2 linked regions of the Drosophila melanogaster genome follow. The main gene of each other region encodes a partner of the protein of the gene in region 2 in a complex. Each region holds a gene or a part of one and is shown on either strand. Other genes may lie near its edges. The genes, in order: ND-18 and ND-75. A codon is read from its position in the direction of its gene.

Region 1 (13,866 bases), about 11 Mb from region 2:
ATGGAATGAGAAGATTTTATTTAAAAATGAAAAATATTCCTCACCCGAAAAATTGTAACATTCTAAGCCATTCTAAGCATATTATTACAACTTTACAAATGTATTATTATAAAAAGTAAGCAATTAAACTAATTGCATTATGGATAAAACTTGATAAAATTAACAGAAAGAGTATATAAACGTCGGCTTATACTTTTGGTAGATTTGCTATTAATTAAATTTTTAACAATTGTTTAATATTCATTCCCATATTTTCCGCCGGTCAAAAGATGATATAAACAACCGATAGTCTAGGTATCGCATAAAGCGTAAGGTGATAAGGGAATGGCAAAAACATCTGTACAAAACGAAAGATGGGCACACAACAAGGGCCGAAAAAGCTTTCACGGCAGCAACAACACTGCGCGGCAGAATGCAACACTGTAAAAGCTGCGCAGCAGAGCAATGGCGGCCTACTGTAAATGTGTGTGTGTGCGCGCGGTGGTGGTGTGTGTGAATGCCTGTGTGGTGGGCCATCGGCCAGCGAGAGAGAGCGAGGGAGATGGAGAAACCACAAAGAGAATCTTTCAGTGTACAGCGGAAAATTCACAAAACAATTGCGTAAATGCTCCTTCATTCATCAACATGATAATCAGCATGAAAAACAAAATATTGCTTGTTTACCGTTTACGAATCGAGGCACACGCAGCGATTACCGACTTTGCTGGAAGAGAAACCGATAACAATAAATGCACCCGATGAATACAGAAGGCAGAGTGGAGCGAAACTAAAAACAAAAATAAAGAGCGCACACTAGAGCGCGACTTTTTTGCATTGCATTGGTGTGTTATCGGTGTCGGTGGCCGCTCTGCGCATGTGCGTAGTGTTTTGGTGTTCGCGGGTGTAGGTCCATGGGTGAATGTGTCATGAAAGCACTGGAAGAGGATATAATAATGCAACTCACCTCCGGTTCGCAGCACTTTAAACCGTAGCACTTTAAAATTGGGGGTGGGGTTAAAAGAGCATATACTGTTTGTATTTTACACTTTTCACTCACGATTTACCGCCCCTCGAGTGGGGCACTCCGATAACTTTGGCGCGGATCTATGCGAGTGGCCGTCACTGTGCTGTTAGCAGCTAACAGTGCTGTAATCGCCGACGTCAACGATACACGCAAGTGCGTGTGTTTGGCGCGCGTGCGGGTGTGTGTGTGTACTTACATAAATACACATGCAAGGAACCGATTCGCGGATCATAGCTTAGCTTAATATTGCAGTCGGGAACTTACCGCTTTGCCAGTGCAGCGACTGGAAGTCATCGCTGCTGCTGCTGCCACAGAATGTTATTGTTTTTCTTGTTGCAGTTCCTGTTTGCCTCTCTGTTGCTCCGGCTGCTGTCTCGCTCGTGTTCCCTCTCTCTTACTCACTCGCACTTAACAACAAAACCCAGCGCGCTCGTCACACACACACTGTATTACTGATTTAAATACACACGCACACACACCGACAGGGGGGGCAATGAGAAAACGTATCCGATTATTATATATATGTACATGTATATCTAAATATACTTTTGATTTTTATGAGCGCGCTCAGTTACAATTGCATTGGCAGCACCATCGTATTCACAGACGTACACGCACACACATTGGGGATGCACTCGGTCGGGATTCTCCGCTCCTGCTCCCCTCCTTCATCCCCTCGCGATACCAAGTGGAAAACGAAAACGGGCCACAAAAATGAAGAAAAGAGCCAAGGAAAACGCAAAAGCACGGGCGGACTTAAAGCCAAATCGAACGATTTACTGACGCTCGCCGAGAATTGGCCAAAGCTCACCAATCGGAACAGCAAGACACTGATTTGCCAAGCGGGCGATCGAAATTGATCGGATTATATGTAACAACAAACACAAAAAAAATACCCGCAGCGAATTAGAAGTTGCAGACAAATTGCTAGAGGTGGCCCACTGCGTCGATGTTTATGCGATACTATGTGCGATAAGTGTGGACCCATCGATTGCTGTTCCGCGCCAGTCGATTGAATTCACTTGACCTAATAGCCCGATTCCATTGGCACATATTTCAATTGGGGGAAGCTCCACTGCCAACGTTAATTGAAACAAAGTCTTATCTTATTTCATTTACTTGACCCACGGTTGGATTGCAATACAAGTTCCGATACTATCGAAATTAAGCTTACGTTTTTTTGTATACGATGTCTTTTGTAAACTCTTGCACTTTTCAATACTTCCTATGGCGTTTTTATGCTCCCTGTGGGAACTTGGCTAAGAGCTTGTTACTTTCTATTGTAAAATATTTATCCAATGTCCATCCCAGATAATGGAAGTAGGTCGCCAAAATATGTATTTAATATAAATATATTCTTATATTAACTCCTAAACATTGTAACATTCCTTATCATTCTAACAGTTGATTAACCACCTATCGAATCAGTCGAAACGTGAGATTCCAGTTTTGGAACCAGTTCGCCTGCGCCGAGCGGCTGGCACGTCACTAGTTTACCGCTTGTTGTTATTCTATCGCCAAGCACGGATTTCGATTTGCTAAATCATGGTTTGAAACGCTCACCTAACCGATACTCCTCCGTCGTACACTTAGCACCGTTTCCCTCCACAGAGCGCCCTGTTCAACTTCCACAGCCTGCTGTCGGTCATCCTGCTGCTGATCTGCACCTGTGCCTACCTGCGCTCGCTCTTCCCCAGCTTGATAGACCGCAACAAGACCGGGTAGGTGCCCGTTCCCGCCCTGACCAGTCCACTGATTGTTACCACACTCAACACTCGTCTGCTGTCTGTTTGCAGATTCATGGGCACCTTCTGGAAGCTGGCAAGGATTGGGGAGCGCAAGTCGCCGTGGGTAGGAGCCGCCTGCCTGATCATGGCCTTCACCGTTCTCTTTTGGAGCTGAGCTCCTGCATCCCGCATCCCCTCCAGGAGCCGAATGGCACCATAGATTAGATATTCCAAACTTTCTAGGACTGTAAATACACGCTGCGTTCTGCAGCACTGGCCGCACATTTCGGGCTTTCCCAACACTTGCTGTTCTGTTCTGTTCTGTTTCGCGCTGGCTAAAAATGTCTGGCGAAGATGTGGACGAGAAGCGAGAACAGCTGCGTCTTTTTGTGACAGCCAGCAGGAGGCGTCTCCACGTCATCCTGCAGCGCTTCGGTTGGAGCGAGCGCGGGGTGATGGGGGCGGGTAGCCACAGACCACAGGACAAAAACGGCGCAACTAAATCGGAGGTGTTAGAGCCATTGCCATTGCCGGCGTCATGCAGCAACAATCCCGACTTTAGCATCCAGCTCGATGACTCGACTATTCAGGGCATTGTGGGCACCGAAAGAGCACGACGCCTCCTTCCTGCTGCCTCCTTTGATGATCTGCAGGCAGGACTCGACGCGAGTCAGCGGCTGCTCATCTACGAGCACGTTCTAAAGCACACCAAGAAGCACCCGCAGTTCCAGGACAACACCGCCTTCGCCGAGGTGGTGGGCGAAACCCGGCGTCAGCAAAAGAATCATCGGCGCCACCGCAAGAGCAAGCCCACGCTCAACGAGGAGCTGCACCAGCTAGTCAGCCTGCAGATGCAGGCGCTGGAGAAGCAGTGGGAACAGGAGCACGGCGGGCGGCATCATAAGCAAGTCGACCGACAGGAGCACCGCGGACGGTATGTTGAGCAATCCCAGCAAAGGACGCAAACGGAGCGGCAACAGGATCACAAGGGACGACGCGATAAGCCAGCGGAGCGGTTTCAGGAGCACCAATGGCGGCACAACGAGCAAACGCAGCACAGGCAGCGGTACCAGGAGGACAGAGGGCGGCATAACGACCAAATGGATCGTTTTAAGGAGCACAAGGACCGAGGACAGCGACAAGAGCATCGGGACTGGCGCAACGAGCGCAGAGATTGGTACCAGCATCATGATGACAGCCGGAAGAGAAGCCGCAGTCCGAGCAGGCATCGACATGGCGATAGGCGTCGGGAGGAGCGAGAGCCACGCGAGAAGCAGCACAATAGGCATCGCTCCCAAACCGCTCGTCATTAGAGCGGCATGTGATGGTGCCGCTTCCATTGGCAGCGAAACTGGTGGCCATTACATGGTGCTGTGGTCATTTGAGTCCAGCCGACTGTTTATTTGGGTACTCAGATAATGAACAAAGCAAAAAAAAAATCAGATAATTGTGGTCTATAATCCTGGCTAGCTGCGGGGAGCGTCTACTTGGTGGAGACGCGCGTGCGCTTGTTCCAGGCAAAGTTGATGCCGTAGTTCTTGACGCGCTCCTTCTTGGGCTTCGCGGCGCCGTCGACGTACCAGCGCCATCCGTTCCGTTCGCAGAACGTGATGGCCTCCTCTGGGGATCCGAACTGCACGTTCATGTTGGACAATGGGTCGCCGCTGGAACACGAGACGTTGACCAAGGTTGCCATGGCATGGTGGACGTGCCAGCTACTCACCTGGAGGCCCAGCCCATGAGCGGATTCTCCCAGCGCTCGCGGTTGTCGAACTCGATTTGCCAGGTGTTCACGTTATCGGTGCCGCTCTGCATTGCGTTCTTGGGCGGAATATGGATGCGCACACGGCGCTCCCGAATGTGCTCCTCCGGAACGCCGCTGATCGGGCTGAGATTGACGGCAGTCGGCACGGTGATCTTGCCACTCAGCTTGTTGCGCTGCTCCAGCTCTTCGGGGCGGGCCAGGGCCGTCTTGGGGTCCAGCGGACCGCCGTCCGTGGCGGTGGATGCCCAGCGGGCAGCGGCTGCCCTGTTGGCCTGGTACCTGCGGTGTCAAGATGCGAAAGTGGATAATTAGAGGGCTGCAGATTTGCCAGGTCGGATGCACTTGCTCCGGCCAGGCGGGGGTACCTACAGCTGCAGGGAGGCGGTGCTTCTGCACATCACTTGGCGGAGGGCCGACATTTCGCTAGGCGTTTGGGGCTACACGGCAGAAATCGGCTTCAAAATACGAATTACGTAAAATTTGGAACACAAGCGCTTTTCGATTGGGAAAACAGCTGTTCGCCAGTGCCAGTGTGACCAGGCGAGCGGTGAGTGTTTTTATTCTAATTGGAAACAGTGTGGCCCCTCGCCTTGGATGCGATGCCACAATAGTTCAAAAACAGTTTTCTTCTTTTTCACTTCGAACTTCGCAAAAACTATGAAATGCTGTTCAAGTGGTAAAATGAACTTTAAAATGAAAATGAATGAAATGAAATACACTGATGATGAACTAGAGAAGTAACTAGAACTAAAACTATGCTATTTGTAAGCCAACTGTTTAAATGATGAGCATTGCATTTGCCCAGTGCTGCCAGATATGTAGGTGTTCTTAGCTCCTTTTAGCTTAATTTCACCATTAGCTGATTATTGGCAAAGGAGCCCGTTTCGCTTATCGATTCTAATATCGATTTGAATCGGTCAGGGTCCTTATTCTTTCAGTTATTCATCGAACTGCGGAATGCCGCCGGCCCTACCACATGGCAATAGCGAAACGTTGTGGCAACGCCTCGCCTACTTGCAACTTTTGTGTCAATCAATACATGTTGAAAACAGATAAAGACACAAATTTTTCAGTTCATCTAAATTGCCACTGATCCAGGCAGAACAGCACGGCGGCAGAACAGTCCCATCCAGAACAGCGACATGGGCGTTCCCAAGTTCTTTCGCTACATCAGCGAGCGATATCCGTGCCTCAGCGAATTGGCGCGGGAGCACTGCGTAAGTAAAGCTGCTAGGTCACGTTATATGTTGCCATGCACCGTACGGTTCCTTTGCAGATACCCGAGTTCGACAATCTGTACTTGGACATGAACGGCATTGTCCACAACTGCTCGCATCCGGACGACAACAACATACACTTTCACCTGGAGGAGGAGCAGATATTCCAGGAAATCTTCAACTACGTAGACAAGCTGTTCTACCTGATCAAGCCGCAGCGCCTCTTCTTCCTTTCAGTTGACGGGGTGGCTCCACGGGCCAAGATGAACCAGCAGCGCAGCCGGCGATTCCGGACGGCGCGCGAGGCGGAGCAGCAGGAGGCCAAGGCGGCCCAGCGAGGCGAGTTGCGAGAGCACGAGCGCTTCGACAGCAACTGCATTACGCCGGGCACCGAATTCATGGTGCGTCTGCAGGAGGGACTGCGCGCCTTTCTCAAAACGAAGATTTCGACGGATCCGCTGTGGCAGCGTTGCACCGTAATCCTAAGTGGCCAGGAGGCGCCCGGCGAGGGCGAGCACAAGATCATGGACTACATTCGGTACATGAAGACGCAGCCGGACTATGATCCCAATACACGACACTGCCTTTACGGCCTGGACGCCGATCTGATCATTCTGGGCCTCTGCACCCACGAGCTGCACTTCGTGGTGCTGCGCGAGGAGGTCAAGTTCGGGCGCAACGTCAAGCGCACCTCGGTGGAGGAGACGCGCTTCTTCCTGCTGCACCTGGGTCTGCTGCGCGAGTACCTCGAGCTGGAGTTCGACGCCCTGAGAACAGACGAGCACAAATTGGACATTGCGCAGCTTATCGACGACTGGGTGCTGATGGGCTTTTTGGTCGGCAACGACTTCATTCCCCACCTGCCGTGCCTGCACATTTCATCAAATGCACTGCCGCTGCTCTACCGCACCTACATCGGCATTTACCCGACCCTCGGCGGCAACATCAACGAGAACGGCAAGCTCAACCTGCGCCGCTTGCAGATTTTCATATCGGCCCTCACCGAGGTGGAGCTGGATCACTTCAAGGAGCACGCCGACGACTTGAAGTACATGAACAACAAATCAGAGGCGTTCGACATGGACGTCGGCGAGATCACCGAGTCTCAAAACCTCGACTCCGATCTCGGAGCCCTCATCAACAAGAGCATGCTGGTATGAACTCTCTGCACTGACCGCCATCCCGTCATTTCCGTCCGCTCAATGCCGCCTTCCCATCCACAGCTCTACGATGACGACAGCGAGGAGGACTGCTCCGACGAGAACGCGGTTCTTCTGAAGGAGTTCCAGAACTACAAGCGAAACTTCTACCGCAACAAGTTCAAGCGTGATCCGAATGATGAACTGATCGAGGAACTGTGCCACCACTACGTCAATGCGCTGCAGTGGGTGCTCGACTACTACTACCGTGGCGTGCAGTCCTGGGACTGGTACTATCCCTTCCACTACACTCCATTCATCAGCGACCTCAAGAACATCGAGCAGGTGGAGATCGCCTTCCACATGGGCACGCCCTTTCTGCCATTCCAGCAGGTGAGCTGAGCACATTTAGTTAGCACCGATAACTTTCCTAGCATCAGGCTTACCATTTCTTAAACATAAACCAGAGCCACCAATTTAGACTATCATTTGCGTATCTCCTTTCTAACATATATCTATCTCCCTCTAATCCAATGGTGGTGCTAGATCATTTGGTTAAAGCAATCTTCTCAACCAAATTATCCATGTATCCATATATCTGCACACATACTAGATTTACTTAAGCCATCTGTCCAATCTTTCATATAAAGCTTCTGGCGGTACTGCCGGCGGCCAGTGCAAAGCTTCTCCCTGTCGCCTACCACGACCTCATGCTGCTGCCGACCAGCCCGCTGGCCGAGTTCTATCCACTGGAGTTCGAGAGCGACCTCAATGGCAAGAAACACGATTGGGAGGCGGTTGTGCTGATACCCTTCATCGATGAGGGTCGGCTGCTGGCCGCTATGCTGCCATGCGAGGCTCAGCTGTCGCTGGAGGAGCGCGAACGCAACCGACACGGTCCCATGTATGTGTACAAATACAGTACGGTGGCGCAGGGTCCCATGCCAGCGTATCCACCGCTGAGGGCTCTTCCCGTGCTCTACTGCACGGAGGTGGCCAAGTGGTCGCACGAAATCGCAGTCAATCTGCCGTACAGCGTGTGCATCGAGCTACCAAATGCGGCGAGAACCGTTTTCTTCCCGGGATTTCCCACCATGCAGCATCTGCCCTTCGATGTGAGTGACGCCGGGACACATGCATAACGCTCGCCATGTCCGCCATGTCTAATATGCTTGCTATTCTTTTCCAGTTCGAGCTGCGCAACGACCGCGTCAAGGTGTTCGAACAGGTCAGTCGCAACCAGAACATTGTGCTAAAACCACGCAAGCGCCAGCTGGAGGACACACTGACGGCGGTGGCCTCCCAGTACCTCGGGAAGGTGATCCACGTCGGCTGGCCGCATCTCGTCAAGGCGATAGTGGTGCGCGTGGCCACGCGAGATCAGCGCGTCGACAGCGAGGGAATCACGCTAAACGATTCGCGGCGTTTCGACTCGGAATGCAAGGCACTGCAGGAACAGTTGAGTGTGAAGCCGCCGTCTGGCCCTGCATTCACACTGCTAATGCTCCATCTTCCCTTTCCTCCTTCTCCTCCCACGACAGCTTTATCAATCGTATGGGAATACAGTTTGCCAACTATGATGTGCTCGTCTATGTGCGCACCTTTGCCGGCAATTCGACGGAGTTCCGCGACAAGGGGGCATTGATGGTGCGCGACTCGTGGAGCAGCTCCGTCACCGGCTATCCAGCCCAGGGCGTGGTGGCCGATCTGACTGTGTGGGAAAGAATGCGCAAGAATTTCCTCAACGTGGAGCACTACTTCCCCGTTGGCAGCACGATCTTCTTGATCACGGATCCGTATTACGGCAGCGAGGGAACTGTGCAGGACCCACGGCTGGCCTACACCAACGGCCGGATTCAAGGTAAGTTCGTCTCGCCATGTCCTTGACACCCCATCATCATTTCATCTCTGCAGTCAGCATCATGGTGCGACCGGAACCGAAAGTAAATGCGGCACGTCAGCTGCAGGAAGAGCGGGACCGGGACTATCTGAGCACCTTCCAGGTCTGCAACTTGCTCCGAATCAGTGGCCGCACCCTGGGACGCCTAAGTGGCACCGTGTGGGTGGTGCTCGGTCCGCGGCGTCAGAAGATGGAAAACGTGACCAAGCACAACATTGGCCTGCAGCTCAAGTATCCGCGGCAGAACGAGGAGCGTGCCGGATACTGCTTCCGCACGAACAACCAGTGGTACTACTCCAGCCTGGCCGTGGATCTGATGCGCAACTATTGCCAGCGTTACCCAGACGTTATCGACTTCTTTGGCGACTCCAACGATCGCGCCGAGTTCGTATTCGAACAGGACGTGTTCCCCAATGCGGTTGGCCATCGCCGCGTCGAGGAACTGGCCAACTGGGTGCGCCAGCAGCCGCACATGAAAGTGGAGCGCATCTCTTGCGGCTCCAAGACGGTCTGCCGCGAGACCATCGAACTGCTGATAGCCGCCGTCGACGACCTGCGCTCACTGCCCGTCAAGCACGTTAAACTGCAGGTGAAGCCGCACTTGCTCATCAAGCCCAATGTCACACTGCCAGATGTCTACCGATCAAAGCGCCCGGTGCGTCTCTTCGATCGCGTCGTAATCGTACGCACCATTTACATGGTGCCCGTGGGCACTAAGGGCACCGTGATTGGCATTCATCCCGTTACGGACCCCAACCCGGTCCGCCTGGAGTGCGTCCATGCTGTCGACACGTTCTGCAAGGTGCTGTTCGACAGCCCCGTTCCGAACTGCAACAACATCCATGGCATCGCCGAAGACCGAGTTTACAAGGTGCCCGAAATTGCCCTGGTGATCATCAAGACGGATGGTAAGTGGATTTGGCTGCATAGCCTACAGAATCGGAGGAGGCACATACATAGCAATGCTCCCACTTCCTCTCCTTGCAGAGGAAGGAAAGAAGCAGAACGACTGCGAACTGCCGGTGAGGGATCCTCAGCCGAACCAGGCACAGGACGAGCCAGTCCGCGCGACCAGCAGTCGCTATGTGACCGCCGCAGGGTCCACCTCGGTCCCGATCACGATGAAGACCCAAATTAGCGACGAATTCGTCAAGACGCGTAGCGATCCGATAGCCCGTACGGATTCGTACAAGCCATCGTCGGAGCCAAAACCGGTGCCGGTGCCGGAGCAGATTACCAACTGGCGGGAACGCGTCAGTACGCCAACAAACAAACCGCAGCCTGCGCCAAATAATTGGCGCATAAATCGGTCTTCATCACGTCAACAGGGCGGTAGTATTTTTGTTGCTCCGCCCACAAAAACTCCTGATGCAGCTGCAAGCACTGCTTCCACTGCATTCACCGCAGCCTCGTCCGCAACGCTGACTCCTCTGGATCAGACCTTGGCGCTCATGTCGGTTTTGGGCGTGGGTGAGGACCAGAGCTCGCCGCCACTCCAGGAGGCGGTGCAGCAGCAACGTCCGCCACTACTTCAACAGCAAAGAGCTCCGTTTCCCGGACAAATGCCCGTAACTGCTTTCAGCCCAGATGTGCCACCCAACCATGTGTTCACATAACTACTTTTCATTGCAGAATCTACCCAAGCCACCGCTCTTCTGGCAGCAAGAGGCGCAGAAGCAGGAGGCGCTGCAGCAGGAGGCGCAGCAGCAGGAGGCGCAGAAGAAGCAGCAGCAGGCGCATGCGCAAATGGAGCCTGAACGTATCAATAGCCAGCATTTCTACAGAAGCGGCCAGACAGGAGCGGCGTTGAATCAGCCGCCATTGGGTGCTCCATCAAAAAGGCAGTGGCATGAGTGGGTGCACCCGCGCATGCAGCACGCCAACGCATTCCACGCTGGCGTCAACAATGGATATCAGATGCGTCCCAAAAAGAATATAGCTGCGCAGAGCACCTTTAACAACAACGTGCACATGCACCTCCAGCAACCATATTACCCGAATCAGCAGCAGCAGCAGCAGCAGCAGCAGCCACTCCAGCTGACGGAGATCAACAATGCGCCACCGCGATACTCAACGATCCAAGATTTTGTGCCCATACAGGCGTACCGTCCCAAGAAATTAAATCGCGTCCAACCAGCCGGTCGTCAGGACGTCGATGCCACCAAGAATCCTAGTCGTTCGCCTGTGTTGCAGCAACCGACGAACGAGACTATAGACACAAAGGCCAGTTCTAGTCTTCCGGTACAATCAGCAGGCGAACAGGTGATTGGACTGATGCAAACGCTTGAAATTAAGGTAAGCATTGGCTACAAGTCAAAGCCTTGATTACCGAACTAATGCTTTCCTCTCGGCCGACAGCAGCCGGCTGCGTCGCAGTCCGAATCTGATGGGGTCTCAACAGGCAGTGCGAACGCGCCCACAGCAACGACATCATCCCAGGTAATGGAGGAGATAGAGATAGTTATTCTGCATAATTTACTCATTCCATTTACTCGCTTCTGTTGCAGGCGGTCAACCGAAGGAAGCATCGAGTGCCTCGCATCGGAGCCAAGTTCGACTTGGAATACATACTGCCCGACTCCCCGCATCCAACTTAAGAGCGAACAAATGGGTATTTTTAGGTTCAAATCCCACCTAGCTGAAGAAATGCAACGCTATTTGGATCTTATATCACCTTATTTCTATCTCTCCTAGTCTGTGCGAGGCACTAGAATTGCCGCACACGATAGATCATTTTTTTTTTAGAGTTGCGGATTATGTGAATACTAAAATGAGACTGACTCGTCTTTATATTTTTTCAATAAACTGGACTTTACCCATATTTTGTTGTTACTCGATAGAATGCCAAGCTGCATTGTGTAAATTAGCTTTTAAGAAGGATCTGTCCTATAAGACGTATTTTGTTTTGAATAAAGCTGTCAGTGCCACGCAATCTGTGGCTAATTTCAAATGTATTGAGCAATCTCGTTCGTGATTTGTTTACAATCTTTGAAAATCTAGTGAAGGCAGATCATTTCAATCATTTCTATCAATTTGTTTTGGCAATTAAAATTCAAATGTTTTCTTTTGAATTCAAATCGAAACTCTGCACGTGTCGCGTGAGCAAGGAGTCGCAAATTCCTAAGAAATCTCTGACCTGGCATAGTTTTTTCGCTAGTTGTCGGTCGCAGAGCCTTCAGCTAGAGAATTGCCAGATCAGGGAGGCTATCGAGCTAGCCCTGTGATTATACTGTATTCTTGAATTTGGAATTTTGAACGATTTTTTTTTTGACAGCTATCGTCAATTGCCACATGACTAAATCATTGCGAGCAGGTTATTCCCAAAACGTTGCACAGAAAAATGGCAGGTAGGGAAGAAATCTTTTCCTCAAGTGTGGTCATTATTCCATGGTTCTCTCTCGCTCAGAACAAGAACAGCAAGAAAAACAAGCAAAAAAACAGGAAAATAAACAAGAAAGAAAGCAAGAAAATAAACCAAAACCAAAACAAAAGCGCCGAGCAATAGCCCAGCCTTCACTTGAGGTCAAGCTGCAGATTGAGAAAAAGCTTTCCCAGCCAGGATGGGAGGGACAGAAGCGCTACATTACCTCGGCGGGATCAGCCACGCTGACAATCACCACTAACGCAAGGATTCCCGAGAGTTTCGTCAAAATCTGCCGACATAAGGACGCCGTTGGGGTGCAGTCGACCCCAACGCGGGCTCACTCGAGCTTTTGTCGTTTTAAAAGACTCACCTATAAGCCGCGTGTCCTCAATCTGACCGATGAACCCGAAGATTGAGAGCTCCTGCTTGGTCTGGTTTCAATAAATGATGGCGTCGTTGCGCTTACTTATTTAATCCTTAGTTCAAACTGCAATGGTTTCTATATAGGTCGTTAGTAGATATACTAAATGTAGGCGGCTCAATTGCGATGCTAAACCAGCGCAAGCTGCTCAGAAATATACTAGAATGGGCACAAGGACACACAACGCATCCAGTGGAGTCAGTCCTGCCGCTCCTACTCTGCTCAATACAATGCGGTTTAGAATTAGAAGACTTGTCGTTGTGTACGAATTAAGGTTTTGATTTGCGTATAATTAATTACGACTTCATATGTACATACAATGCATTCGTTAAAAATAATAAAAAATAAGGTGTTGTTAAGAAAGCCAGCGGGTGTTGTCAACAAAGGTTCGTTCCGTTTGATTCAGTTTTCGAAATCCCACAACAGTGGATACAACAACTTGGTTAACTACATGGTTCGCGGTGACGAACGTTCGACGTGCGAATCCCACATATCACCTCCGCACCATTTCGTACCGGATTCCTATTCCTATTCCTCATCGACTCGTCCTCGTCCGAAACCATTTTGTAGGATGCTGTGTGACGGATGACGACGGGATGTGTTCTCAGGTGGCAGACTGGTAGGTGCCACGCACAAGGGCACAGCGCCAAGCCAACTGCCGCCTCAGATCTGATCCGTACCGGTCCAATCCGATCCGATCCGATCAGATAAACTCGGCCATGCCTAGAGCGGCTTGGCGTCCTCCTCATCAGAGCACTTGGTTTGTTGTTGTTAATAGTGAATTTTATTGTGGTTGCCGTTGTTTATAGAGCTAAGCTTATTCCTGTTCATATTGTTGGTTGTTAGTTAGGTTCTTCGCTTCACTTTTCGTTATTGTTGCTTTTGTTGTGTTTGTTGGTGTGGTGGCCGCAGATCTGTTGTTGCTGTTACTAACTTCTCGGGCCCGGGTATTAGTTAGTAGTCTTGTTTGGTCCTAAGACGCTGCCGCTGCCGTGGCCAAAACAGACACCGGTTCACTAGAATCAACGTGAATCAGCTGCTGCTGCTCTTCCTCGGCGCGCAGCTTGGCGGCCTCCTTCTCCTGCAGTTGAGCCTCCAGCTCCTCGACATTGCGAAAGATGCGGGCGTACTGGAAGCGTTGGTGGCACGCCTGCTGGTAGGAAGCGGCCTCTGCCTCGCACTCGCCAAACACATCGCCGTCCCGCAACGCTGTGTAGATTTTGGTGGCCTCCTGCGGAACACAATTCAAAGAGCAAGGATCAACAGGGGGCCAGTCAGTGGGTGGAGAAATGGGTTTGGCAGTCACTTACCTCCAGCCGGAGCTTGGCCA
Region 2 (16,017 bases):
AGCCAAGGATCGAGGACATGTTAATAATGGCGGCACGGCCCACGCCCATCGGCTGGGATTCGTTCGCTTTGGCTGCCTTCTTAAGGAGCGGCAGACACGCCTTGGCCAGCATGATGGGCACAACCGTGTTGGTCTGCAAGGTGTCGAGCAGCTCCTGCGATCGAACGGCCGTTATCCTGGCCGATTTGGGCGCTATGCCGGCATTGTTGAAGAGCACATTGAGGCCTTGGTCCTTGGTCACGCCCTCGATGTCGGCGACTAGCTTGTCATAGGCATCGAAATTTCTCAAATCTGCACGGAAAATATATTTATATGCGAGAGTGTTTAGCGGCTGGTAAAACATAATGCTTACCAATCTCAAGTATGTGTATGTTCGAGTGGTTCTTGGCTAGATCCTCCAGCTCCTGTGGGCCAAATTGGGAAAGACAAAATGTTTGAATAAGAAGCACATTATTAGTAAAAAAGCAGTTTATATATGAATAATTTTCCAGTTAAATTACTGTAATTTTTAGAGGCAAATTTGGTATTTCATGAGAGTTTAAATAGCGCGCCCAACGAGCGCGTTAGTGCCATAATAACCGATAGACGATAAGTGCTGCTGGTGTGACCGAACAATAGTCGGCCCAGCAATCGACAAGCCAATCGACGTCTCCCTTTCGCACGCTCGTACGAAAGTACAAAAGCTATTGCAAAAGTTGGCTCCGCTTATTCGTTTCGTGCTTTCGCGAGTGCCGAGAGCCGCTACAATACACGCTTAGCAGTTTTTACATTTCCGCTTCGACTACAACAACATTCACTACCCGCCGTTGATCCTTGTTTTCTGTCTGATTTACGTGGAGCACCTACCAACAAGCAACAAAATAATGGCGCCCGTGCAAGGTGAGTTTCACAGTTAATTCGATTCCAATTGAACCATTCAATTTATGCATGCCCATTTGGACGATTAAAAAGCGGTTTGTAGAAATAGTGGCTCTTGTGGATTGTTCGCGTAGCTTCTGTAGTTTCTGTAGCTCGACGGTTGTGAGTCACCGGTTTTGTTGGATTACTGGATTGTCTTAGTAGAGAGACAACGCAAAATAAGAAGAAAACATCTCTCACCTTTGCCTGCTCGCGATTCCGGCAGGTGGTAAATAGATGCTGCGGCGGCTGGGGAAGATTGAGCAGCGCCTTGACCAGGCCCAGACCCAATCCTCGATTGCAGCCGGTTATCAGGATGGAGTTCATGTTTTTTTTTTCCGAAGATCCGCGATCGAGTTGCTCGAAATCTTATCGCGTCGTACTTGAGATAAAACCAATAAAGGGCGGCACTACTATACGGGTTCCGTGTGTTCTGTGGATTTCACCAGACCCGCAGCCAGATCTTTCCGTGCTTATCAATCGACTTTATTGCCGTAACACAAGCGTGAAAATAGTGAAATGTTAGGAAAAATTTTGACGGCCGGCTGTTTCGTTCGGACAGCAGCAGTGTTACCAACCATCCGCGAGTTATCGATACACTTGCGCATTGCCAAACGTGCGTTTCGCACATTTCCAATTGGCAAAGGGCAGAACAACTGTTGTGATGTTCAAATCCCAAATGGAATTTCGCAATCCAATGGATGCTCCTTTATGGCAAATCCATTTTATCCCAAACATTCTCGTTTTTGCGGTACGCGCTCTTGCGCCCTCTCTCTTTCTCGCTGCTTCTGTTACGTAGCCGTTTATCGGCGCCTCTGCCTGCCCACCGCTTTCGCAGCATTCCCGGCCGAACCAGCGAACGTGTTTGTGTTGTGTGTTCCGCCGTCATTTTTCTGCACCCTTTTCGCGAATAGTTTCGTTTCGCCTCCAGCTGGTAGAGTGAAACGCCAAACGTTGAAGAAGGGGAAAGGCCAACAAGATGAACTTGTGCAATTCGAGATTCTCCGTTACGTTCGTGCGGCAGTGCTCGACGATTTTAACGTCTCCTTCGGCTGGCATTATACAAAACAGAGGCTCACTGACAACAAAGGTTCCCCATTGGATTTCCAGTAGTCTCAGCTGTGCCCATCACACGTTTCAGCGAACTATGAACTTGACGGGACAGCGAGGATCACGCGACAGTACTGGAGCTACCGGTGGGAATGCTCCAGCCGGATCCGGTGCCGGCGCACCACCACCCTTCCAGCATCCACATTGCGACAGGGCGGCCATGTACGCGCAACCGGTGCGAAAGATGAGCACCAAAGGAGGTGAGCATCGATATCGATTGATATTCTGATTAGATCTTTGCTGTTGCCGCCGCAGCTGCTGCTCCTGTTGCCGCCGGTTGGCAACGCGGTCGATTGTCGCGGTTTTCTTGCTTGTTGTTTTTTCTGGGTCTTCTTGTGTTTAACCGACGCCATTATGCAATAACCGTTAGTTGCCTGGCCAAAAAGTCCATTACTCTGCTCTTATTACCTGGCTTATCGGGTTTCTGCGGCACGTATTCGCCAAGGGTTTATATGCCTGCCCGGCATTTGCTGTCTCACATTTGCACCGTCATCGTCAATCGTCATCGCGCACCCGCTCCAACTGGAATTGTACAGTCGGGGTCGCGCGAACAGCACTCGAAACTCGTATCATGCTGAAGTACATGATTTGCGCCATCGTTGTGGGCGCCAAAAAGAGCACATCCTCTAAGTATAATGGTCAACAAAGTTCTGAATCGCGTATAAATACTATGTCAGTCGAATTTTTTTAATTGAATTATGGATTGCTCATAAAACCATTACTCAATTGCAGCTTAAACAATATCAGTTATTTGCCTCAAAAAAGAATTACATCATATGACTTAACGAATTAATAATATTTGTTAAATTACATTCATACAAGTCACTTGTATTGCCATTTTGCCTTTAGCTGGTAAAAAAAAACTAATATCTATTTATATGAAGTTAAACGTATTTGATGTTTTAATTTGTAATATAATATAAATCCCACATGCCACGATCAAGTTTTCTTGTTAAATGAATAATTAGCCAATCGAGCAGATACGAAGCTTCTAATTCCGAAAACAATAGAAGAATTTACTTATAAATATATGCCATATTCTGATTTCAAATGGTAATTAAGGGTATAATAGGATTTCTTAAAGCACCAACGTGATATGTGTGATTTTTGTCGAATGCGGTGCTCTTGAACGAATAACCCTTTGCGGAATGTTCGAGAATCGCTTTATGATGATGATGATGATGATTTCACCATATCAGTCGGGTGCATTTATTCCCTTTATCTGTGTTTTCTATTTCGTATCTCTCGTATCCGTCGCTCAACGAGCGCCCGCCATCGTCTTTGATCTTTCATCATCATTGCTGAGCTGCGTCATCACCACTTCATTCCGCAATTAATTGCAGTGTGACGACAACAATTGTTTATTTGCACTCGCATTCGTACGTAGCCACCTGATTTCCCCCTGTTCCTGGCCAGGATTAGCATTCCGTCCGATAAAAGCGAATTGTGTGTGGTGTTGCCAACTAGTTTTGGGGCGTAACCATGACAAAGTCCGGCGGGTCAAAGCAAACCGAATGGGGGGGCGTAGGTGGACGGACGGAAGAAAGGCGTGGCCGGGCTGGGATGGGCGTGGCTTGGTGTGTGGCGATGTCGCTAGATGATTGCTCCACTTTGATTCGAACTCCCACTGACCCAGTGGCATGTGTGGCATTCGGCAGCACTATCGCTACCTGGCAACTGAAGCCAAGGAGCTCGACGGGATTGCACGGTGCAGATTACGGATTGCAGGAGGCCAAACAGTCTTCGTTCCGCACTTCTTTGGTCTGGATGCATCTGTTCGAATTCATACCGGCTTCCCAGTTGGTCGAGGGTGAACCACGCCACCGGAGGAGCATCTACCGATCCGCCTATCTGGACATACGACTGCGCGAGGAGTCCACCAAAGGCAGGCGGGGATTAGCCATAATCATGAGTGAAGCTAAAGAGAAACTTGAGTAGTTGGCACCACATGGCTAATTGATATCATTACCTATCACTGATAAGGATTTTCAACTAATCTAGATACTGGTTAAGAACAAAAACAGACCATGCCAATACAACATGGCTATTGATGTTACTAACGGTGATAAGTTTTTAATAATACAAGGTGAATTGGCTGTGCTACGATTAGATTTCCTGACGGCTCCTCATGTTCTGTGACCTCTTGACCTCTTTAAGCCCAATTTTGGCAGTAGATTACATATTTCTATAGACAAAAGGCGATGAATCAAACGAAAACCTTTTTTCTCCTGCAGGATCCTACGACTACGACCTTATTGTGATTGGAGGCGGCTCAGCTGGCCTGGCCTGCGCCAAGGAGGCAGTCCTCAATGGAGCCCGTGTGGCCTGTCTGGATTTCGTTAAGCCCACGCCCACTCTGGGCACCAAGTGGGGCGTTGGCGGCACCTGCGTGAACGTGGGCTGCATTCCCAAGAAGCTGATGCACCAGGCCTCCCTTCTGGGCGAGGCTGTCCATGAGGCGGCCGCCTACGGCTGGAACGTGGACGAAAAGATCAAGCCAGACTGGCACAAGCTGGTGCAGTCCGTACAGAACCACATCAAGTCCGTCAACTGGGTGACCCGTGTGGATCTGCGCGACAAGTAAGTGTGACTATATCTATGGCTTCCGCTCGAGCATCCCCACTAATTATACCCTTCTATTTGCGCTCAGGAAAGTGGAGTACATCAATGGACTGGGCTCCTTCGTGGACTCGCACACACTGCTGGCCAAGCTGAAGAGCGGCGAGCGCACAATCACCGCCCAGACCTTCGTCATTGCCGTTGGCGGCCGACCACGTTATCCGGATATTCCCGGTGCTGTCGAGTATGGCATCACCAGCGATGATCTGTTCAGTTTGGACCGCGAGCCCGGCAAGACCCTGGTGGTGGGAGCTGGCTGTAAGTAGCTACTTTCATTTGCTTACATCAAATTGATGAATAACCCATTCGGTTTCTGCTCTTTCACTCAGACATTGGCTTGGAGTGCGCTGGATTCCTGAAGGGTCTCGGCTACGAGCCCACTGTGATGGTGCGTTCTATTGTGCTGCGTGGCTTCGACCAGCAGATGGCCGAGCTGGTGGCAGCCTCGATGGAGGAGCGTGGCATTCCCTTCCTCCGCAAGACGGTGCCGCTGTCCGTGGAAAAGCAGGATGATGGCAAGCTGCTCGTGAAGTACAAGAACGTGGAGACCGGCGAGGAGGCCGAGGATGTTTACGACACCGTTCTGTGGGCCATCGGCCGCAAGGGTCTGGTGGACGATCTGAACCTGCCCAATGCCGGCGTGACTGTGCAGAAGGACAAGATTCCAGTGGACTCCCAGGAGGCTACCAATGTGGCAAACATCTACGCTGTCGGCGATATCATCTATGGCAAGCCAGAGCTGACGCCCGTCGCCGTTTTGGCTGGCCGTTTGCTGGCCCGCCGCCTGTACGGAGGATCTACCCAGCGCATGGACTACAAGGATGTGGCCACCACCGTTTTCACGCCCCTGGAGTACGCCTGCGTCGGCCTGAGCGAGGAGGATGCCGTCAAGCAGTTCGGAGCCGATGAGATCGAGGTGTTCCACGGCTACTACAAGCCCACGGAGTTCTTCATTCCCCAGAAGAGCGTGCGCTACTGCTACTTGAAGGCTGTGGCCGAGCGCCATGGTGACCAGCGCGTCTATGGACTGCACTATATTGGCCCGGTGGCCGGTGAGGTTATCCAGGGATTCGCTGCCGCTTTGAAGTCTGGCCTGACTATTAACACGCTGATCAACACCGTGGGCATCCATCCCACTACCGCCGAAGAATTCACCCGGCTGGCCATCACCAAGCGCTCCGGACTGGACCCCACGCCGGCCAGCTGCTGCAGCTAAAGCGGGAACGCAGCTCAGCCGCCTGGGACGTGTCGAAGCCGCTTGCTCCACCCGAAATCCCGTAGATGAATGGTTGTTGTCGCGGCCCAGCGATCGATGAGTTCAATAGTTCCGTTTCGTTTCCACAATTAACACCCAACACAATAGCTCTGCGCAAGGGAGGGGCACTGGGCAGCGATGGCGGGTGGAACGACACCAGTGGAACTACCCGCGCGACCAGCCCAACCCACGACTGCTGCGCCGCCGACATGCACTCAAAATTTTGAATTTGTTTGAACCTATGAAATTAACTATGAAATCCCCTAAATGTACGGTTGAAGAATATAATTTTTCACCAACAAACCCCTCTGTGTTTCAGTTCTGTGCATTTCCTTTAAAACATACCTCGACCTTTAGCCCTTCCTCTGCCTTTTCAATCAAGTAAGTTCATTAGCCATGCAAATGGCTTGACTTGACCTGGCTAAATCGATTCTGTCTGCCAGCCTGACAACTTGTTAGCCACCCGACTAATTGCTAATGCCATTGCTAGGGGAATCTTTGCCCTCGAGGGCTATAAATCAGCTACGAACGATGGCACCCTGGAGATACATATATCAGTGGGTAATAAATTATACTTTAGTTTTCAAAGGAAAAACAGTGCGTGATAAAGTGTAATAGAAGCTACGAAAAGGTTGAAGTTTATGACCTAAGGAATCCTCGCAAGCAAATCAAAATCAAATTAAGACAGTAAATTGATGCAATCAATTAATGAACAGCAAAGAGAATTCAATAGCTTCTATAAGGAATTAGCATTAATCATATATGTATGTATGGAACACTTTCGAGGTGGTATCTCCGATTGGATGCCACGAAACAAAGCGAGATGGCTATACTATGAACCAAGCGACTTGGAATAGCCCAATATACCCATAGTGAAACCCAACCCATTGATAAGTCGCTGTTGTGATATTTTTTCTATTACATTTTTATTTTGGTTTTCCTATTTTTCGTATTGAATAACTCCTTTGTTTTGAACAACGTAAGACTTTTTCATTTACAACTGACGCAGCGCTGGCGCCTCTGCAGCCGCCGATCGTGCTCCTCATCCCGCTACTGCGCTGGCTCTTCCCGCGGCTCGTCCTGGTGTCTTTGTGTCCGTTAATTAGTGGGCGAGTGCGGCGCGAAAGGACGAAGGGCAGAGTTTAAAAAAAAACATTAATTAGTTATTAGTTTAGATCAGACGCGAGAGTGGGCGCCTAGATAGCCACACTCTGCTTGGCCTCGTTCTCCCGCTGCTGCTTGTTGACCGCCGATATGCACTTGGCCATGGTGGGCGAGGCGCGCGAAATGGCGTCGGTCATGAAGTAGTCGCGCAGCTCCTTTAGCTTAATATCGATGGCGCCACCGCCGATGGATTTGCTCTGCAAACAAACAAACAGTAATAAATTACAACTTTCAATGGAGCATAATTTCAACTTACAATAGTGCCCGCTGCTCCGGCATCGCCGGCTGGCTCCAATTGGCCCAGGCGCGTTAGATGTGGCGCCACATCCTCCAGACGGTTGCGCAGCTCGTCCAGGTTGTCGTACGGCAGCGGCTTGCCCACCACCTCGGACAGAGCGCGCAGGATCTTCCAGTCCTCGCGAGCCATACCCGGTGGCGAAACACCAGGCAGCGTCTGCTGCGGCCTGCCCTCCGTGTTCACGTAGATGCCCTGCTTCTCTGTGTAGGCGGCACCAGGCAGAACGGCATCGGCAATGGAGGCGCCGTTGTCACCATGCGATCCAATGTACACCACGAAGCAGTCCTTGGGCAGCTGCTCGCGAGTCACCTTGCCAGCGTCGGCGTTCAACAGGAACAGCACCTTGGGCTGAGCCTTCACAGCGGTCTGTGCACCGGCCTTGTAGCCCACATCGAGGGCGCCCACCTGGGCGGCGTTGGTCTGCAGCACATTGAAGGGGTTCCAGTTCTGTAAGCGAAGCATGAGATTAAGCAGGAATTCATGTGAGCAAAGGGATGACAAACTTACCGGCTTCTTCAGCTTCTTGCAGTACTCGGCAACGGTGGCGTGAATGGCGGCACCATCGGCACGCTCCAACAAATCGGCTCCAATAATGATGGCCGGCTTCTTGGCACCCTCCAAGACCTTGGAGAAGGCATGAGCTCCGGAGCACACGTCCTTGACTAAAGCGGCATCGGCGCCAAGGTTCTCGTGGTCGTAGGACAGATCGATCTTGGGTCCAATCGAGGCAATCTGCAGTTCGTTGTGCACATAGGCCTTGCGCAAACGGGTGTTGACCAATGGAGCCTCGTAACGGGGATTGGTGCCCACCAGGAGAACGGCGTCGGCCTCCTCCAAACCGGCAATGGTGCTGTTCAAGAGGTAATTAGCACGGTTGTCGGTGCCTCCGGCAATAAATCCTTGTTCAGTGGCGACCACTTCGCTGCCCAGACGGTTCAGCAGATCCTTCAGGGCCACCTGAGCCTCCAGGTCGGCAAGTTGGCCAGAAATACCGGCAATCTGTCCACCGGCTGCCTTAATGGCCTTGGCCACGGCGATGAGGGCACCCTCCCACTCTACGGCCTGTAGTTCGCCGTTGGGCATGCGCACCATGGGAGCCACCAGGCGCTGGCGCTTCAGACCGTCGCAGGCGAAGCGCGATTTGTCAGCAAGCCATTCCTCGTTGACGTCCTCGTTCTCACGGGGCAGGATGCGCAGCACCTCATTGGTGCGGGTGCTGACGACAATGTTGCTGCCGACGGCGTCCAGCACATCGATGCTGCTCACCTTACGGATCTCCCAGGGACGGGCCACAAAACTGTAGGGCTTGTTGGTCAGCGCTCCCACGGGGCACAGGTCGATCACGTTGCCGGACAGTTCGGTAAGGAAGAGCTTCTCCACGTAGGTGCCGATCTGCATGTCGTTGCCACGGCCAGTGGTGCCCAGGTCATCAACGCCGGCAATCTCGGAGGCGAAACGCACACAGCGGGTGCAGTGGATGCAGCGTGTCATGATGGTCTTGACTAGCGGTCCGATGTCCTTGTCCTCGACAGCGCTGTTAACGCATTAGGTAGAATTCAGTTCAGGTTATGGAAAAGGAACTTTATGGATTATTCTCCTTACCGCTTGCCCGTGTAGTTAATGTCCGTGAAGCGGGATCGATCGGAACCGAAGGCCATGGCCTGATCCTGCAGATCGCACTCGCCGCCCTGATCGCAGATGGGGCAATCCAGCGGATGGTTCATCAGCAGGAACTCCATGACGCCCTCGCGCGCCTTGCGGGTCAAATCCGAGTTGGTCTTGATGCGCCAGCCCTTCATCACGGGCATAGCGCAGGCGGCCACTGGCTTGGGACTCTTCTCCACCTCGACGAGGCACATCCTGCAGTTGCCGGCCACCGCAAGACGTTCGTGGTAGCAGAATCTGGGTATCTCCACGCCGATCTGAGCAGCAGCCTAGGATTTGCAGGGCATAGGGGATATGGGTTTAGAAGGCACTTCCCGCGAACGAGGGACTGGAAACCAACCTGGAGGACAGTGGTGCCGGGTACCACCTGCACGGGAATGTCATCCACAAAGACCTCGATCTTCTCGGGCGCTTTCGCCGGTGTCTGGGCCACCATGGCGCTGGTTCGCACCGCCCGGCTGGCCATCTGATGTGTGGGCGAGCCCAGAGCGCCCAGCGCCTTGACTAGCGGTGCCCGTATCATATTTTCTGCAACGAGATGGTAACCAAAAATCCGTTGCAATCGGAGGAGCCAATAAAAATTACATAAGTGTTTTGGTACGCTGGTTGGCACAACACTCCCGCATATCGATTGTTCGCGATTCGTGTGCGTTTTCGGAGTCAGCTCCTCCACTGCACCGCCATTTGCCACCTGAATGGGGATCCTGGAGGATGCCAAAAGTGGGCGAAGACCTACCGAAATGCTGGAAAATATTCCTGTGATCTTTTAATGTGGAGACAACTTTTTTTTTATCGGATTTTGCTTTGACAGACCGACCGCGTTGCCAACTGCCGCGTTGACAGCTGGTCAATCGCAATAGTTTATCGGTTTTTAAATTTATTCCTTAAATATAAATTTATGTGCGACACCAATTTATAAATCTCCGAAATTAGTTTTCTATTCAAAAAGTATATATTTGATATTGTTACCTGCTTCGATTACCACCTTCAAGTTCAAGTGTTACTGTAGTTGGCAACGCTAGTGAACAGCTGTTCAATTTGTTTGGCCATTCACTTGTGAGCGAACTCAGTATCAAGCTTCAAATCTCAAATCACAGATGGAGCCACTCAACTAATTTATTCGCGCTCTCAAAATTAAACGAATTTTTAAAACTTATTACTTCAAATTAAATATAGTTCACTTATTTTATTTAAGTTCAGAACTGTATTGTAAATATTTTATTTTTGTTCTTGACTTTAAATGATTTGTTGTTAAATATTTGACAGTTTTGATAGAAGTTTTTTTTGAAGTTTTTACCACGTAAAATTAAATGTTTTGTTTTATTTTCAGTTCTCTTATCAGCTAACACTCATACAAACGTATGTGCGTACTTATGTATATCTGGCCAGGATCTTTTCCGCTTCATACGAATTAATCATCGCATAAATTACCGGCTTAAAAGTGCAGCGTTATTCTCGTTACACAGAGAGAAATTTGGTTTAATTTTTTGCATAAGATAACACTTATCAGTTGTAAACAGAGAACAGAATTGAAATGATTTAATGATTTGTATGTAACAATACTGCAAATAACACATATAATATTAAGCATGCCAAACGCTGAAAATTAAGACTTCCAATCTTAAATAAACTAAGCGATTTAGAACTCATACTCTTTTGAAACAATTACTCCAAATATTATTCTACACATCATCTGTTTCATTTCTTCGGCGCGTGTAGAGTGGGCAAATATTAGGCATCAGAAGACTGAAAACTGGTTGCGACAACTTTCGTTGCGGCCGCCGAAGAAGTCGCCCCGTTTGGGCCAAGTTAGTTAGCGTTTTAGCTCCGCTCGAGACGGTCGTGCATCTTTTCTCATCGCATCGGCACTCAGATCCCAAAAATTCCCCCAAATCGCGCATTTCCAGCATACGGAGTGCATCACTTGGCGATATATTCGAAAGAAAGAAAGGTGCGCGCATGCGCATATGGAAAGCGGCAAAAGCGGCAAAAGCGGCGGTCGTGTGTTCTGCAAGACGGAGCGTGAAGTGCGGCATTGTTTGCATTTAATATATATAAATATTATATATACACATATGTATTTATTTTGTATTTTGTTTTGTTTGTATTGTGTGCCTCTGCCTAAATGCGGATAAATATGCGGAAAACCTAATCCGCCAAAAAAAACGAAACAAAAAAAAACATAACAAAAAAGCAGCTGAGGAAAAACAAAGATCGCAACAACTGGCGACGTCAACTGGCCATATCGATTGCAAGCCAAGCGGGGCTGTGTGACACTTTTCCGCGGCGCAGCAAAACAGGTTGCCATCATAGCCAGCCATTATAGTCGTTTTGGCCAGCACCTAGGGCTGCTTCACCTGCTCGCCAGTTTACCTGGATCACCGCCTGGCTAATTTGGTGGGCATGCTGTCCACTTTGTTTCGCCTTCCATAACGAAAGCAAGCGGGGAAACGCTGAAAGGTTTTGCGAGTGGCGCGAATCCGCGATAGCGGAGCAGGCGCAGGACAGCTCGAGATCCGTATCCATAGCGGGAGCCAGATCGAGATCGGAGCCCAGAACCAGGATGTCGGACATATACTACTGCAGCAACAGCCAGGTGAGTTCTAGTTCAAATCAATTACGCGTGGCCGCTGTCAGGAAATGCGGCTAATTCCAGCGGCCAGTAGTTAAACTTAATCAGAGGTCTGAAAGTACACATTTCTCCGGTTCTTAATTGGATTATGAGGCGAACTTGGAACTTCTCTTTCTTCGCGACTGGCCAATATGGCAGTAAAATTCTGCATGGCCTGGGTATGATTAATTAAATCTGCGAACGCTGTTATATGTCTAATTAAGAATTAAGAAACTAGCACAGTTTTCTGGATTCCAAATGCACATAAACTACCATTTCAATTTGATTTACTTTTACTAGAAAAGTTTGGAAAGCCATGCTGATCTCAGTTCGTAACTTGCCAATGCCTTAGATAGTTTTTTAGATAGAAAATCTAGTATCTCGCAGATACATAGATATTGAGTGGCAAAAGCAAAAGGACCTAAGCCTCTCCCTGCGCCCAGGGGCCAAAATCAAGTGCATTGTTTTGGCCATTTCCCAGACAATAGTGAAATATATCCGCGGATTCCTGGAGGCCATTTACCATAGCATTACCCATTGCCATGCCTTTGGAAATGCCTTTCGAAATTCCAAAAAAATCCGATGGGGCTGCGATTATCTGTGGGGATTCTTGAAAGGGCAACAACACTCGCTGGTTATTTGGTCATTTCGGTTTTTTTGGTTTTCGTTGGCTTATTTTTGGTCACTCGGCTTAAACGGCTTTCCAATCGCTGTCATAATTGGAAATCGTTGAGCTGCCATAATTAATGAAACAAAAGTAAAAGCGTCGCGTTGTTTGGCTGTTTGGTTTTTTTTTTATATGTTTTTTGTCGTGCTGCGGATTGGCATTATGCAATAATGCTGCACTACTAGACGGCGATATCGGTAACCTGCTAACGATTTCCAATCTGCAACGGGATCGCATCCACAGTAGTCGTCCGCGCATGTACAGTGGCCACTCGTGTTAACGCCCTCTTGCGATCGCACACTTACTATTCCGCTCATTAGAGTAATCAGTTGTATGATCATTCATATTACACAGCAATAAAATGTTACAATACTCACCCACTTCATTGTGCATTCACTTCTAATAACAGGTAAAGCAGCAGCTTAAGTTCGAAAATGAGTTAATTTTAAGCAAAATGTAATGGTAGCTTAAAATGTATTTAATATAGTAATTTATAAAAATTGCACTTGAATATTTTGTATATTTCTATTGAATCATAGACTTATTTGACCGCTTTGCTTGCATTTTGGCCCACTGTGTGAGCTTTGGCTACTGCTAAGTTTATGGAAATTACAATGCCACGCCCCCTTTTCGTAGCTGGGGGCAGCAGCATCCCCACACACACACACACACATGCACACGCACACATGCATAGAAAGAGAGCAGCGACTTGAGCTGCGTTTAAGTGAAAGTGCGTCCCGTTATAAGCCAATTTTGACTTAGTAACTTACTTTTGCCGCTCGCTGTTGTTGTTATTAAAATTGTTGATTGTTGCTTTTGCCGCGGGCGCTTCGCTGTTAAAATCTGGCCCGCCTCAACGAAAGAAATCAAAAGTTTGTCACACTGCAAAAAAAAAAGTGGTGACTTAACTTAGGGACTAAACTTAGATATTTAACAAGAAAGTTATGTAGAATCCCAAATGGTTGGCTTTTCATTAAATTACGTATAGAACTTGATTTGCATTGGCGTATTGCTTACAAATTGGAATTGCTTCAAATTAGACTCTTATTTCTTTCTGTGCATAATGCGTTGTCGTCTTCTGCGTCTTCGCAAATCTTCAGCTCGCTGCGATTTTAATTTGCAACTGTTTTCTTGCAAAAATGTCTGTTGTTTCTGTTGCTTTTCTTTATTATTATTATTTCCCTCTTGTAATTTGTGTCTTGTTTTATTTGTTTTTTTTTCTTTTTGTCTTTCGCATTTTGTGTCTTGTATTTTGTATTTCTCCCAGCAATCAGCAACTGTTTTTTTTTGGTGGCATGTATAAATTTGTTTGTGAAATGAGTCGTTGAATACTTTGGACGGGTGTTTCTCTTTCTTTTGTTGTCTCGCCTGATGAGAATTTTTCGAATAACAAAATATGTCGTTTCTAACAATAATAGTGTTAAGTTGCTGGCTTGAAAACGAATATGCTATGCTCTACCCTTGAAATATTCAAAAGAAGTTGCTAGCAGATTGATGATTTTGTTATTGAATTAAGTTGAGATTTGAAAAGCTAGTAACTTTTAATATCTAAAAATTAAAAGAAGAAGAGTGTTTGTTATGTTTTAAAAAATCCATTCCAACAAATTGTCTCCATTAAATGTTGCGTTCTAATGGGTTCGCAATTGAAACCAAGGCCATGGACTACGAAAAAAAAACTGCATGTGAAAGACATTTGTTAACGGTATTATTCACCACATTTTTGGAACCAAGGCTTTTCGACCAAAGTTTGACCAAAGTTTTTCTCGCTTGTTAGTTGTTTATTGTTGTTAGTTGTTGCTTGGTCGATGTTGCTTGTTGCAGGGCGTGTGTGGCTTAAATAGGGCCTCTACCCCCCCTCCCTCTTACTGTTGTAATTGTTGTAATTGTTGGTGTTGGCCGCCAAAGGCAAAACAACGAGCATTGAGCAATTTGGAGTTTTGCTGCGATTGTTGTGGGTTCATTCCATTTCATTTCATTTCGATTCGTTTCGTTTTCTTCTCACAAGTCCGCCCGCTGTAATTTAAACTGCGATCTGTATGAATACATACGTATGCATATGCACAGCTGCAAGCGAAGAAATAGGTTTCGTTTTGGCCAAGTTACGGAGATAATAACCATGCTTGAAATTATCTGATTTTTGTCAATTTTTTTTTGGTTAAAAATATTCTGTATTTTTTCGATAGCAGTCAAAATAATTGGCCAAATATGGAATGTCATACCTCGTTGAATTCGTAACGAAATTCCCTACCGAACTGTATTCAAACATGGAAATTTTAATTTTTTGCCACTTTTCGCAAATTTTGATGATGGTACCCCTTACAAAAAATGCGAAAATTTGGGCCAAAATTAATTTTTCAAAGTCCTTCCAAAAGTGACAGGGATGGTTAGTATTGGTAATTAGGAGCACAAAGTTATACCCAAAAAACCCATATTAAATATTGAATTTTCTGACAAAAATCGTTTTCTTGATTTTATGCGAAAAAATAATCGGTAAGTTTAGCATAGCACTTAAAATAATGGCCCAAATATGAAATGTCATACCTCGTTGAGTTTGTTTCTTAAATCCCAATCGATTTGCATTCAAATTTGGGAATTCTAGGTTTTTTCAATTTTTTGCAAATTTTGATGATGGTACCCCTTACAAAAAATGCAAAAATTTGGTAAAAAATTAATTTTTCAAAGTCCTTCCAAAAGTGATAGGGATGGTTAGTATTGGTTATTAGGAGCACAAAACTGTTATTCTTTTGGCTGTGTGGGCATTTTTAGCCAAGTTATACCCAAAAAACCCATATTAAATATTGAACTTTTGGCTAAAAATCGTCATCCTGATTTTTTGTAAATAAAATAATCGGTAATTTTAGCACAGCATTTTAAATAATGGCCCAAATATGGAATGTCATACCACGTTGAGTTTGTTTCTTAAATCCCAATCGATTTGCATTCAAATTTGGGAATTCTAGATTTTTTAAATTTTTTGCAAATTTTGGATGAATTTACAAAAAATGCGAAAATTCGTGAAATTTTTTTTTTCCCAAATCATAAAAGTAGTGATAGGGAAAGTTAGTTTGGTTTATTACCAGCACAAAACAGTAATCATTTTTGCTGTGCTATCTTTTTTGGTCAAGTTATGGAAAAAACCAAGTTAAAGAATGGTCAAAAAAAGTAAACAACATTTGTTCTCCTGTTGAAATGTTATTCTACCTACACAAAATGCATATTTCAACATAAGTAAATTTATTTAATTGAATAATCATTTAAGCGTATTACTATATTGAATAGGCATTCAATGGTGGTAATGAATAATTAATTAATAAATGTTTTCCATCTGAAAAGGAAAGACCATAGTGCTGTGACCGCGACTGTGCGTCGCCATGTGTGTGTGTGGCTTGGCATTCCAATAAGTCCATGGGTCTAGTCTCGGTCTGGAGTTGGGGCTTGGGTTTGGGTTTGGGTTTGAGTTTGGATTTGGATTTGAGTTTGAGTTTATGCGCCAAAAAGTGATTGCAGCGACGACAACAACAGCAGCAACAACAAACTCGTTTGGCTTAGAAACAAACGCAACAACTTTCAGTTGTCTGCCGACGATTTTGCTTTGCGGCGATTTTTTCCATGTTTTTCTAGGCTTATCTGACTCGTGGGGCCCCATTATTGTCTTAGCTATTTTCGGTTTTCGTTGGCGAATTTTTCCCTCACTCTCTTCTCTTCTCAATTTATTTGTTTTTTTTTTTTGG

What was found.
Region 1: the proteins of ND-75 (region 2) and ND-18 are in contact, whole or in part, in a cryo-EM structure (PDB 8B9Z), measured with the Drosophila melanogaster proteins. Residues at the interface, in NP_511083.1 of Drosophila melanogaster: Thr58 (codon at 9,360), Gln61 (codon at 9,351), Glu69 (codon at 9,256), Arg72 (codon at 9,247), Tyr75 (codon at 9,238), His76 (codon at 9,235), Glu77 (codon at 9,232), Arg78 (codon at 9,229), Leu79 (codon at 9,226), Ala80 (codon at 9,223), Val81 (codon at 9,220), Ala82 (codon at 9,217), Asn84 (codon at 9,211), Gln143 (codon at 9,034), Glu146 (codon at 9,025), Cys147 (codon at 9,022), Asp148 (codon at 9,019), Asp151 (codon at 9,010), Arg195 (codon at 8,810), Val197 (codon at 8,804), Ser201 (codon at 8,792), Glu202 (codon at 8,789), Asp207 (codon at 8,774), Thr211 (codon at 8,762), Asp238 (codon at 8,681), Arg260 (codon at 8,615), Lys261 (codon at 8,612), Ser263 (codon at 8,606), Val276 (codon at 8,567), Thr281 (codon at 8,552); in NP_573385.1 of Drosophila melanogaster: Arg83 (codon at 4,578), Arg85 (codon at 4,572), Pro90 (codon at 4,557), Lys91 (codon at 4,554), Asn92 (codon at 4,551), Ala93 (codon at 4,548), Met94 (codon at 4,545), Gln95 (codon at 4,542), Ser96 (codon at 4,539), Gly97 (codon at 4,536), Thr98 (codon at 4,533), Asp99 (codon at 4,530), Asp109 (codon at 4,500), Asn110 (codon at 4,497), Glu112 (codon at 4,491), Arg113 (codon at 4,488), Trp114 (codon at 4,485), Ala122 (codon at 4,461), Ser129 (codon at 4,381), Asn130 (codon at 4,378), Arg151 (codon at 4,315), Tyr153 (codon at 4,309), Ala158 (codon at 4,294), Lys159 (codon at 4,291), Lys161 (codon at 4,285), Lys162 (codon at 4,282), Arg164 (codon at 4,276), Val165 (codon at 4,273), Lys166 (codon at 4,270), Tyr168 (codon at 4,264).

What each region holds. Positions count from the first base shown.
Region 1 is NC_004354.4:19,483,585-19,497,450, reverse strand, and holds ND-18 (NADH dehydrogenase (ubiquinone) 18 kDa subunit), read right to left. Parts: upstream 5,031-13,866; 5' UTR 4,915-5,030; coding exon 4,865-4,914; intron 4,775-4,864; coding exon 4,454-4,774; intron 4,395-4,453; coding exon 4,214-4,394; 3' UTR 4,114-4,213; downstream 1-4,113. Other genes in the region: ksh (kish), read left to right, coding at 2,549-2,551, 2,615-2,724, 2,800-2,905; CG12204 (uncharacterized protein), read left to right, coding at 3,072-4,043; pcm (pacman), read left to right, coding at 5,638-5,712, 5,772-6,866, 6,936-7,244, 7,502-7,966, 8,041-8,309, 8,393-8,712, 8,766-9,659, 9,739-10,319 and 3 more; Naa15-16 (N(alpha)-acetyltransferase 15/16), read right to left, coding at 13,510-13,767, 13,847-13,866. UniProt on the Drosophila melanogaster protein: Accessory subunit of the mitochondrial membrane respiratory chain NADH dehydrogenase (Complex I), that is believed not to be involved in catalysis. Complex I functions in the transfer of electrons from NADH to the respiratory chain.
Region 2 is NC_004354.4:8,241,853-8,257,869, forward strand, and holds ND-75 (NADH dehydrogenase (ubiquinone) 75 kDa subunit), read right to left. Parts: upstream 9,836-16,017; 5' UTR 9,745-9,835; intron 9,600-9,744; exon of another isoform or gene 9,537-9,599; 5' UTR 9,532-9,536; coding exon 9,349-9,531; intron 9,278-9,348; coding exon 8,946-9,277; intron 8,878-8,945; coding exon 7,851-8,877; intron 7,791-7,850; coding exon 7,302-7,790; intron 7,243-7,301; coding exon 7,078-7,242; 3' UTR 6,799-7,077; downstream 1-6,798. Other genes in the region: sni (sniffer), read right to left, coding at 1-291, 353-404, 1,099-1,224; Trxr1 (thioredoxin reductase 1), read left to right, coding at 1,877-2,207, 4,242-4,587, 4,658-4,884, 4,956-5,842; CG1632 (uncharacterized protein), read left to right, coding at 11,572-11,604. UniProt on the Drosophila melanogaster protein: Core subunit of the mitochondrial membrane respiratory chain NADH dehydrogenase (Complex I) that is believed to belong to the minimal assembly required for catalysis. Complex I functions in the transfer of electrons from NADH to the respiratory chain.